Xenopus tropicalis: one gene and its partner. The protein of the gene in region 1 purifies or fractionates together with the protein of each later gene. This does not show direct contact. Links are inferred from orthologs where the notes say so. Each region holds a gene or a part of one and is shown on either strand. Other genes may lie near its edges.

Region 1 (4,588 bases):
AGGAATTTTGGGCCACTCATCTTTGCAGAATTGTTGTAATTCAGCTTTATTTGAGGGTTTTCTAGCATGAACCGCCTTTTTAAGGTCATGCCACAACATCTCAATAGGATTCAGGTCAGGACTTTGACTAGGCCACTCCAAAGTCTTCATTTTGTTTTTCTTCAGCCATTCAGAGGTGGAACACTGACCTTAATTGAGGCAAGTGAGGCCTGCAGTTCTTTAGATGTTGTCCTGGGGTCTTTTGTGGCCTCTCGGATGAGTTGTCTCTGCGCTCTTGGGGTAATTTTGGTCGGCCGGCCACTCCTGGGAAGGTTCACCACTGTTCCATGTTTTTGCCATTTGTGGATAATGGCTCTCACTGTGGTTCGCTGGAGTCCCAAAAGCTTTAGAAATGGCTTTATAACCTTTACCAGACTGATAGATCTCAATTACTTTTGTTCTCATTTGTTCCTCAATTTCTTTGGATCTTGGCATGATGTCTAGCTTTTGAGGTGCTTTTGGTCTACTTCTCTGTGTCAGGTAGCTCCTATTTAAGTGATTTCTTGATTGAAACAGGTGTGGCAGTAATCAGGCCTGGGGGTGACTACAGAAATTGAACTCAGGTGTGATAAACCACAGTTAAGTTATTTTTTTAACAAGGGGGGCAATCACTTTTTCACACAGGGCCATGTAGATTTGGAGTTTTTTTTCTCCCTTAATAACGTAAACCTTCATTTAAAAACTGCATTTTGTGTTCAATTATGTTATCTTTGACTAATAGTTAACGGTTTTTGATGAGCAGAAACATTTAAGTGTGACAAACATGTAAAAGAATAAGAAATCAGGAAGGGGGCAAATAGTTTTTCACACCACTGTAGATAGAGGATTTCACATAGAAAAGAACAAGAGGCCACCACCAAGGTATCAAGGCAAGGTATTTGTTTTGGTTTTTAGTTCCTGCAGTTAAGAATTTCTTCTGCTGTTATCATCCTAGGGTACCACCTACCCTTAGCCTAGTCCAGTGATCCCCAACCAGTGGCTTGTGAGCAACATGTTGCTTTCCAACCCCTTGGATGTTGCTCCCAGTGGCCCCAAAGCAGGTGTTTATTTTTGAATTTCTGGTTAGGAAGCAGGTTTTGATTGAATAAAAAAAGTTGTACGGCCAAGCAGAGCCTTTCTGTAGGCTGCCAGTCAACATGGGGGTTATCAAATAGCCAATTATAGCTCTCATTGGCACCTCCAGGAACTTTTTTCATGCTTGTGTTGCTCTCCAAAACTTTTGCCATTTGAATGTGGCTCACAGGAATAAAAGGTTGGGGATCCCTGGCCTAGTCTATATGCCATTTTACCTTACTATCAAATAATGAAGGTCCATGCAGGTGCAAGGCGGGAAAAATGGAAATGACTGATGAGTAATAAAATTGTACTAAGCCCAGTAGCTGGCTTTACTGCTGTGATTGCATCCTGATAGTGGTATGGCAACTGTGGAGAAATAAACAGTGCACTGCGTTGTTATCGTCTTTTTGAGAACTATAGCTTTAGGAGTACAGGTGCGATTTCCACAATGCCTTTAAAAGCCTTTCTAGCTAGTAACAACTTTTGAGTTAATGGATAAAGGTGATGGTGTTACAAATAGATATCTGTCTCAATGTGCTTCATGCAACATCTGTCAGAGTTTTAAAAGAAATATCCATTGGCCTTCTCAGTGCCTATGAATGCAGGACCATGATGACTTTTTGATGTGTTAATATAACCTATAAAGGCTATAAAACCACAACGTGGGTATAGATCGTTCACATCAGAAGGAAGGACTGCACTTTACTCTGAACACTAAAGAAAAACTACACGGGTCTACAAATAAGTGAAGTTCCAATGCTAAAGATTTTCTTTGGGGAAAAAAGAAAATCTATGAATAGCATACCTGCACACATTGGTAATATCTGCACCAGAGTATCCATCCATGTTTTCTGCTATACACTCAATGTTGACATCATCTGCCAGCTCCAGCTCTTTGAGATTTATGCGTAGAAGCTCCTCTCTTCCTTTTGCTGAAACAATATGAATTTACATTTTATTTACTCTTTATGTTTATTATACTGTTCAATAAGCAAGAAAAGAAGAAAGACACAATACCACCACCCACACTGATTACTAGTCATGTGCATGTTGGTTTTAGTCTCCTACCAGCTCCCTGTGCCCAACCTTAGAATTACTACTCATTTAAATGGCTATTTGAATGGCTTCAATATTTCAATACAACTGAATAACATTTGAAAAGGCCTTCCATGTTACAGTAGCTATGCAGAATTGCAGGAGTTTGCATGTCTGCAAAGGTTCCCTTAGGGTACTTTGGTTTCCTACCACACTCCAAAAATATACAGGTAGGAAATCACAATTTCCACAATTTATTTTATATCTTCAAGTGAAGTCCTTAAAATAGGTTTATACGTCATCTGTCTTTATGCCTCCATCCTTTAATAATTATTGATAAACATATGAAAACATAACCATGTATTGTAACCCTACCTAATACCATAAAATACTTTTCAGACCCCTTCTTGTACAACACGCAAATAGTTTGTCAATACTTCAATATTATTCCATCTCAACATTTATACTGCGACCCACCTGATGGCAAAGGAATATATATTCTTTTTTCTAAGCGTCTCCGCAAAGCCTCATCGATATCCCATGGAAAGTTGGTTGCTGCAAGAACCATTACCATTTTAGATGGGTCCTCATTTTCAGATGCACCACCAACACCTAACAGAAAGAAATTAAAAAAAAAATGGCAGTATTGAGATAAATAATTAGCCTACAGGTCATTCTTAGGGCTGTATTCTTTTTTTGAAAATGCAGATTAAACACAAATATTGCTTACACATTTGGCAAGAACACTGTAGGACACAAGGAGGCTTAGTTAATATTTTTTCATAACCTAATCCACTACTCTATTAAATAAAATATCCCACACTGAAGATTTAGATAAGTATTTGTTACCAACAGACTTCTGCAATTATCTTGCTCTTTTCATTACATCTAGCTGGTGATGGTGCTACAAACAATTCTGCTTTTCTCATTTTTGATTTGAGGGATTGGGTAAAACAAGGTAAAGATGTACAAGCGAATTATCTCACTCACATTGTCGTTGCCTTGCTCACTTTTTTCCAGGAATTGTTTTGTGAGGATTGTCTTTTTTCCTTAAAAAAATGCATTTGGAAAAAAAAAAAAAAGCAGAAAAAAGTGTGTGAGATAACTAACTTATCGGTTTTTCTTTACCTTTTTTTTTCCCCAACCCTCTTCCTCAAGAATGAATAATTCGGACCTTAAAAGGGGTTGTTCACCTTTAAATTAACTTTAAGTATGATGTGGAAAAACTATCTACAATTGGTTCTCATTCTTTATTATAGCATTTTTTAAATTATTTAACGCTTTGTTCAGCAGCTCTCCAGTTTAAAATTTTAGCAGCTATCTGGTTGCTAGGGCAACCAGAAAACCAAATTTAACCTAGCAACCAGGCAGTGATTTAAAACAGAGACTGAAATATGAATAAAAGAGGGCCTAAATAGAAATGTAAGTAATAAAAAGTAACAACAACAAATGTGTAGCCTTCACAAAGAAATAGTTTTTTGCCTGCTGTGGTCAGTGACCCCCATTCAAAAGCTGAAAAGAGTCAGAAGAGGATGGCAAGTCAAAAATTATAAAAATAAAAAATTAACACCAGCTGAAAAGTTGCTAAGGATCAGCCATTCTATAACATGCTTAATGTTATGATGAAGGTGAACCACTCCTTTAATGCAATTAAGTTTTAAAATTTTCTGCATAACATTTCATTTAGCAGATTGTTTAGCACCCAACTATAAATAATGGTTTACTACATATATTGTATATAGTGATATCTAACAATCTAAAATGCATTAGAAATGTGCAAGGAACAGAACATCTCTGTAACAGCAGCTATACATTAAATAATTTAACCCACTGCAGACCAGGCAATTTTGACTTCAAGTGGCAAAGATCATTTGTTTCAAAACTATACAGAAATACATCAAACACATTTTATATGCATGGCATACAGCTGATTTTGAAAGTCCAATATACTCATCAATATCAAATATTTATAGCTATAGAAAAGATTGCTTTCTTGTATAGAACCTAAGGTATAAACCCATATTTTCAAACCAATTCACCATGAATATAGATATATATTTACAAAGGGTTAAAAAAAGACCAAGTTCAACACTTCCAAGTAAACCAAACACACACGAATGTATACTGACCTATCCATACACTCGCATACATAAACTATACATACCAACATCAATTCAACTGTAAATTTTAGTATCACAATAGCCTTGGATACTATGCTTGTTTAAGAACTCATCCAGGCACCTCTCAAAGGCATTAACAGAATCTGCCATTACAACATCACTAGGAAGGGCATTCCCCAACCTCACTGCCCTCACTGTGAAAAACCACCTATGCTACGTCAAGTGGAAGCTCCGTTTCTCTAAACTAAATGGGTGGCCTCTGGTGTACTGATCATTTTTATGGGGAAAAAAGAACATCCCCCTATCTGCCTATAATCACCTCTAATGTACCTGTACAG
Region 2 (5,346 bases), on another chromosome or scaffold:
AATTTTTGGTCATACCGCCCAGCTCTATTGCTGGTGTAAACAATGCAGGGGATTGCTGGTGTAAACAATGCAGGGGATTGCTGGTGTAAACAATGCAGGGGATTGCTAGTGTAAACAATGCAGGGGATTGCTGGTGTAAACAATGCAGGGGATTGCTGGTGTAAACAATGCAGGGGATTGCAGCCTGAATCTGAGGTGTGAACCATGCAGGGGGCCAGTTAATCTTATTACTGATAACATTTAAAATGTACACAAAGGTAAGCAGTCACAGCAGCCAGACAGGTGGGGGCACACAGGGGTGGAAACCACCAGTTGCATAGCACTTCTCTATGCCTTTAATTGGTAGAGTTGTAATTGTATCCACTCACAATCATAGCCAACATTCCAACAAATTACGTGGCTGCACTAATCCCACTGTTGGTGAATACTGCAACCTGCCAGGACCTATTACATACCACAACTATGGGACTAGAAGAGAAGCCATTATTGGAGATACTACAAGTATACGTCATATATTTAATCCACTAAGGATGAAACATGTTGTCTATTAGTCACTACAAATTGATCCTGAAAAAAACTGGGCTGTCCCCTACTTCCCAATAGGCAACTTGATCTAACCAGTTCTATGAACTGCATCCCCTTTAATTACAAACATCTAACACCCTCTTTAGCATTATCAATTGAACTATTTGTAGAGCAAAAATGTTGGCATGGAGGTGTCTGCTAATAGTTAATGCAATATTAGGTGATTAGCAAGGTCATTATAAAAAAATCACATTCAGTATGGAATGAATCACCAGCAGTTTATTGTGCCACAAATAATATGCTTTGGCCCACATACTGAACTCCAAAAGGCAAACAATTATTTCTGACAATATAAAACCCAGAGGTTAAAAGTGCTACCGTTCTAGAACACTAACAACACAGAACAGAGAACTCCAACACACTTTAACTGCATCCAAATGGTTTACACAGTATTCTACAGCCGATTGCCTACACAGCAACAAGCTTAACGGTGGGTGAATGTTACTGAAACAGTAATGGGGTCAGTCTCACATGTGAGGTAGAATAAAACAAACAACCTGTAAGAAGAATACAGAATACAGTAATAATTATTGGGAGTTGTCCACAAAAGCCCCCTGGTTAGCCTGCTTTGCTTTATATAATAATATACAAATCTGTCTAATCTACATGACATCAGTGTTGTTGGGGGAAATAGGTGCAATGCAAACAATAATAATATCCAGGGGTCTGTCATTTAATCAATACAGGAGCGCTCTCAACAGAAAGCAGTAAAGCAGCCCAAAGCCTTTTAGCAAACAAAATAAGATCTTTTTGTAGGGCTTTTAGTTGGCCTTTTTACTACAAAGGTTTAATTTTTTATTCCTATATACCGTAACACGTTTTTCATACTTTTAACTGCATATTCTGTGGTTCACGTTTAGGTTAACTTAGTATGTTATAGAATGGCCTATTAGCAACTTTTCCATTTTTTTTTTTATAGTTTAGCTATTTGCCTTCTTCTGACTCTTTCCAGCTTTCAAATGGGCCCCAGCAGCCAAAAACTATTGCTCTGTGAGGCTGCAAAGCTGCTGAACAAAAACGGATTCAAAAACTGCAAATAAACAATGAAGACCAATTTCAGAATAGCATTCTCTACATCAGTGATCCCCAACCAGTGGCTCAGGGGCAACATGTTACTCCCCAACCCCTTGGGTGTTGCTCTCAGTGCCCCCAAACCAGGGAGTTGTTTTTGAATTCCTGACTTGGTGGCAAGTTTTGGTTCAATAAAAACAAAATTTACTACCAAATAAAGTCTCCTGTAAGCTGATAGTGTGCATAGAGGCTGCCTAGTAGACAATCTTAGCCCTTATTTGGCACCTCCATGAACTTTTATGATGCTTGTGTTGCTCCTCAAGTCTTTTTACATTTAACTACTCACGAGTAAGAAAGGTTGGGGGCCCCTGATCTAAATCATAATAAAAGTTAATTTTACACCCAACCACTTTCTGGAGCATTCAGAATATTAGATGCTATACCTGTATTTTGTTAGATCGGAAGTATAACAGAGCAACCTTTGTCCTGTCTGTGCATGAATATGAAACATACAGCAACAAGCACTACTAAATGATTGAGTTATGTACTTCACCCATTATTTTTCTTTTAGGTATCACATAATTCATTATGCTCCTGTGCTTCTTAAATAAGATGCTTTATTTTGGTGCTGTAACATTGCATCCTTTTTTCAAGATGTGTGTTATTATCCCTAGCGTTACTGCATTAATGATCTGAAAGATAAGTCTTATTTGGGGTTCTAACACATGTGCTAATTTTATACTGACCTTACTGAACAGACCCCTCAGACCCCCTCTGTCTCATACAGCTTAAAATCTAAATTTAACATACATTACAGGTGAGATAAAAAGTATCAGCCTGGCCAATATTGCTATGGCCAATATTGAATATGTCTGCTCATAACTGCAAGGAGTCACTGTCTCTGCCAAATACACCACTGGCTTATTCTGCCAATAGTACATATTAAGGGTGTATACTTTTCCTTCTATCAGGATCCTTGAAAAGAGGAAATGAAGTTATGCAATGATAAAACATACAATGAGGTTAATTGGCTCCTGATCAGTGACTGTGTGTGAATGTGATAGGGACCTTAGATTCTAAGCTCCACTGATGTATCATTGACATCATACATCATAAAATGAGTGATATATAATCTCTGTATTCTCCTTGCACAAGAGCACTGGTATCCTGAACTACACATAACAGTAAACACTGATATTGAAATACACATATAACAAAAGCAAGAACAAAGGGAGAGTCATTTAAACCCTGCGGCCTCAGAAAGAGAAATACATGAGTCTGTATGTGCTTCTTAGAGTATCTTCCCTTGAGGCTGGCCAGGCAGAGTAGGTAACAGTGAATGAAGTGGTTATCCCAGCATTATGATTCCCATAAGGTACCACCGGCAACTACAAACAGGAGAAAATGTGCTTTATAACACGCCCTAATGCGCTGCTCTAAACTATAAAAAACTGGCTAAGGGTGGTGGGAAATGTAGTTTGTAAGTACTGGGTGTTATTAAACTACAGAGCAAGAACCATGGCCTAGAGACACTGCATGGGGTTGACGCCCACTTCCCCAAGCACTAAGTCCGGTTAAATGTAAGCAAGCGGCTTTCTTACCGGCTCATGGCCCCACGGCTGGGGGAGCAGGGCAGCTCTTTAGCAGCGGGACAGTGTCCTGTACAGCGCGGCTTCCGGCTCCGGCAACAAAGTTACCCCTTCCTGACACTAGGATGCGCCATTCAAACTGCCCCGCACGGCATGCCGGGAAAGCACAAACTGCTGTCAGACTCGCCTCTGTGCGCAGGGCTCTGATTGGCTGGCGATGCGGGAAGCGAATTACGTAACGAGCGCCAACCTTTCCATGGAGACGCGTGACTTACCGCCATACTAATATGGTTGGCTGCTGAAGCGCTTTTACTTTAATGAGTACGGTGATATGTTGGGTGCGTGCTTACATAACAGAACCCAGGCTTCAAGGATGGGAAACGCTACTGAGCGCCTTTTTCTAATGGACCATATGAGGGTGTGACAATTATTGCTTAGCAGCCAGTGTCTGCTCGTTTCTGCCTAAATGCGTTGTTATTGGTTACTCTCTGGAGATGATCCAATATTTACAAAGGGCACGCCTAAGTTCATCAGAAGGATGTAGCTAAACGTTGCTGTATTCATCCTTCTGCTGTATATTCAAGCAGGTCTGGACTGGGATTTAACATATGCTATGGCATTTCAATTATGAAAAGGTCCAAACACCACCCCCCACCACCACTACCAGCCCAATAAATAGTGACTGTCTACAGCAGGTGTCCTCAAACTGTGGGCTGGACACGCCTCCCCCAAAGGTAATTTACCAGGCCCCCAACCGGTGGAAGCAGCAGGGAGCCAGAGGACAGGGGTAGCCAAAGAAAGCTGCAGGGGGAGCTGGAGGAAGCAGCGGGGAGTGGGAGGACGCGGGGGAGCCAGAGGAAGCAGCGGGGAGTGGAAGGATGCGGGGGAGCCGGAGGAAGCAGCTGGGATCCAGAGGACACGGGGTAACCGAAGGAAGCAGCAGGGGGGAGCCGGAGGAAGCAGCGGGGAGTGGGAGGACGCGGGGGAGCCGGAGGAAGTAGTGGGGAGCCAGATGACACGGGGTAGCCGAAGGAAGCAGCAGAGGGTTGCCGCAGGATGCAGGGGGGAGCAGGGAGCAAGAGGAAGCAGCGTGGAGCGGGCTATAGTGTGAGGACAAGGGGGGGGGACTTTAATCTGGGCCCCCAACAGTTTGTGGGACCATGAACTGGCCCCCGGCTTAAGTTTGAGGACCCCTGGTCTACAGAGCTGTTAACTCTTAAGATTTGTTCTGGAGTTGCCCAAGTTTCCAAGTTTGGCTCTCTCCCCTTGGTCTTCTGTGACCCTGCCACATTCTACTGATTTTTACAGGTTCACTATGGTGCACATACGCAGTATGCACCATAGCAGTAGGTATTCAGTGACACCTGGGGAGCATCTGCGCATACACATACAGCTGTCAGTGGCTTCAGGACAGCAGCTGCATGTGGGTAACGTCGATTCCAGGATTTCTGTCATATGTGATGTCACTTCGTGCAAAACATTTTTGGCAGTGCGCTGCAAGATCTCCTGAAAGTCTGGTGCTAAAATTTGAAAGCTCTGTGTCTATGGCATCTTACAGTAGCCCCTGTGGCATTTGCCAGTCCAGGCTTTGTTCCAATAAAATCTCAGAAAGCAATTACATTTTCACCAAACACATCACTCTAATTTACCTTAAGGGCTCTGGCACACGGGGAGATTAGTCGCCCGCGACAAATCTCCCTGTTCGCGACTAATCTCCCTGTTCGCGACTAATCTCCCTGTTCGCGACTAATCTCCCCGAATTGCCATCCCACCGGCAAAAATGTAAATTGCCGGTGGGATGGCATACGCGGCGGCGCAATTTCAGTGAAATCGCGCCGCCGTGTATGCCATCCCACCGTCGATTTACATTTTCGCCTGTGGGATGGCATTCCGGGGAGATTAGTCGCCCGCGAACAGGGAGATTTGTTGCGGGCGACTAATCTCCCCATGTGCCAGAGCCCTAAAACTGGGATTCTAAATAATAAAAATCCCCAAATCCCACCCAAATGGGCCTTCAGTCTGAACCCCACTTCTACTCTAAGGGGCACATTCATCAAAGTACGATTGAGTCCAAAAACAAAAAATCAGTATTTTTTCTAAGTTTTAGAACTGTGCGTGTTTTTTGCAAAATTTTAGTTAATTTGCGCAACTTTTTCGTACT

Evidence for each region. Proteins that work in one complex are often made in the same cells at the same time.
Region 2: the proteins of katna1 (region 1) and katnbl1 purify together in Homo sapiens (affinity purification with mass spectrometry; 3 studies listed by BioGRID and IntAct, counting the BioPlex papers as one, with this or other methods). This does not show direct contact. The link is inferred for Xenopus tropicalis from reciprocal best matches to the Homo sapiens genes KATNA1 and KATNBL1.

The regions. Positions count from the first base shown.
Region 1 is NC_030681.2:58,147,587-58,152,174, forward strand, and holds part of katna1 (katanin p60 ATPase-containing subunit A1), read right to left. Parts: intron 2,743-4,588; coding exon 2,608-2,742; intron 2,028-2,607; coding exon 1,901-2,027; intron 1-1,900. UniProt on the Homo sapiens protein: Catalytic subunit of a complex which severs microtubules in an ATP-dependent manner. Microtubule severing may promote rapid reorganization of cellular microtubule arrays and the release of microtubules from the centrosome following nucleation.
Region 2 is NC_030684.2:118,598,988-118,604,333, reverse strand, and holds the start of katnbl1 (KATNB1-like protein 1), read right to left. Parts: upstream 3,274-5,346; 5' UTR 3,198-3,273; intron 1-3,197.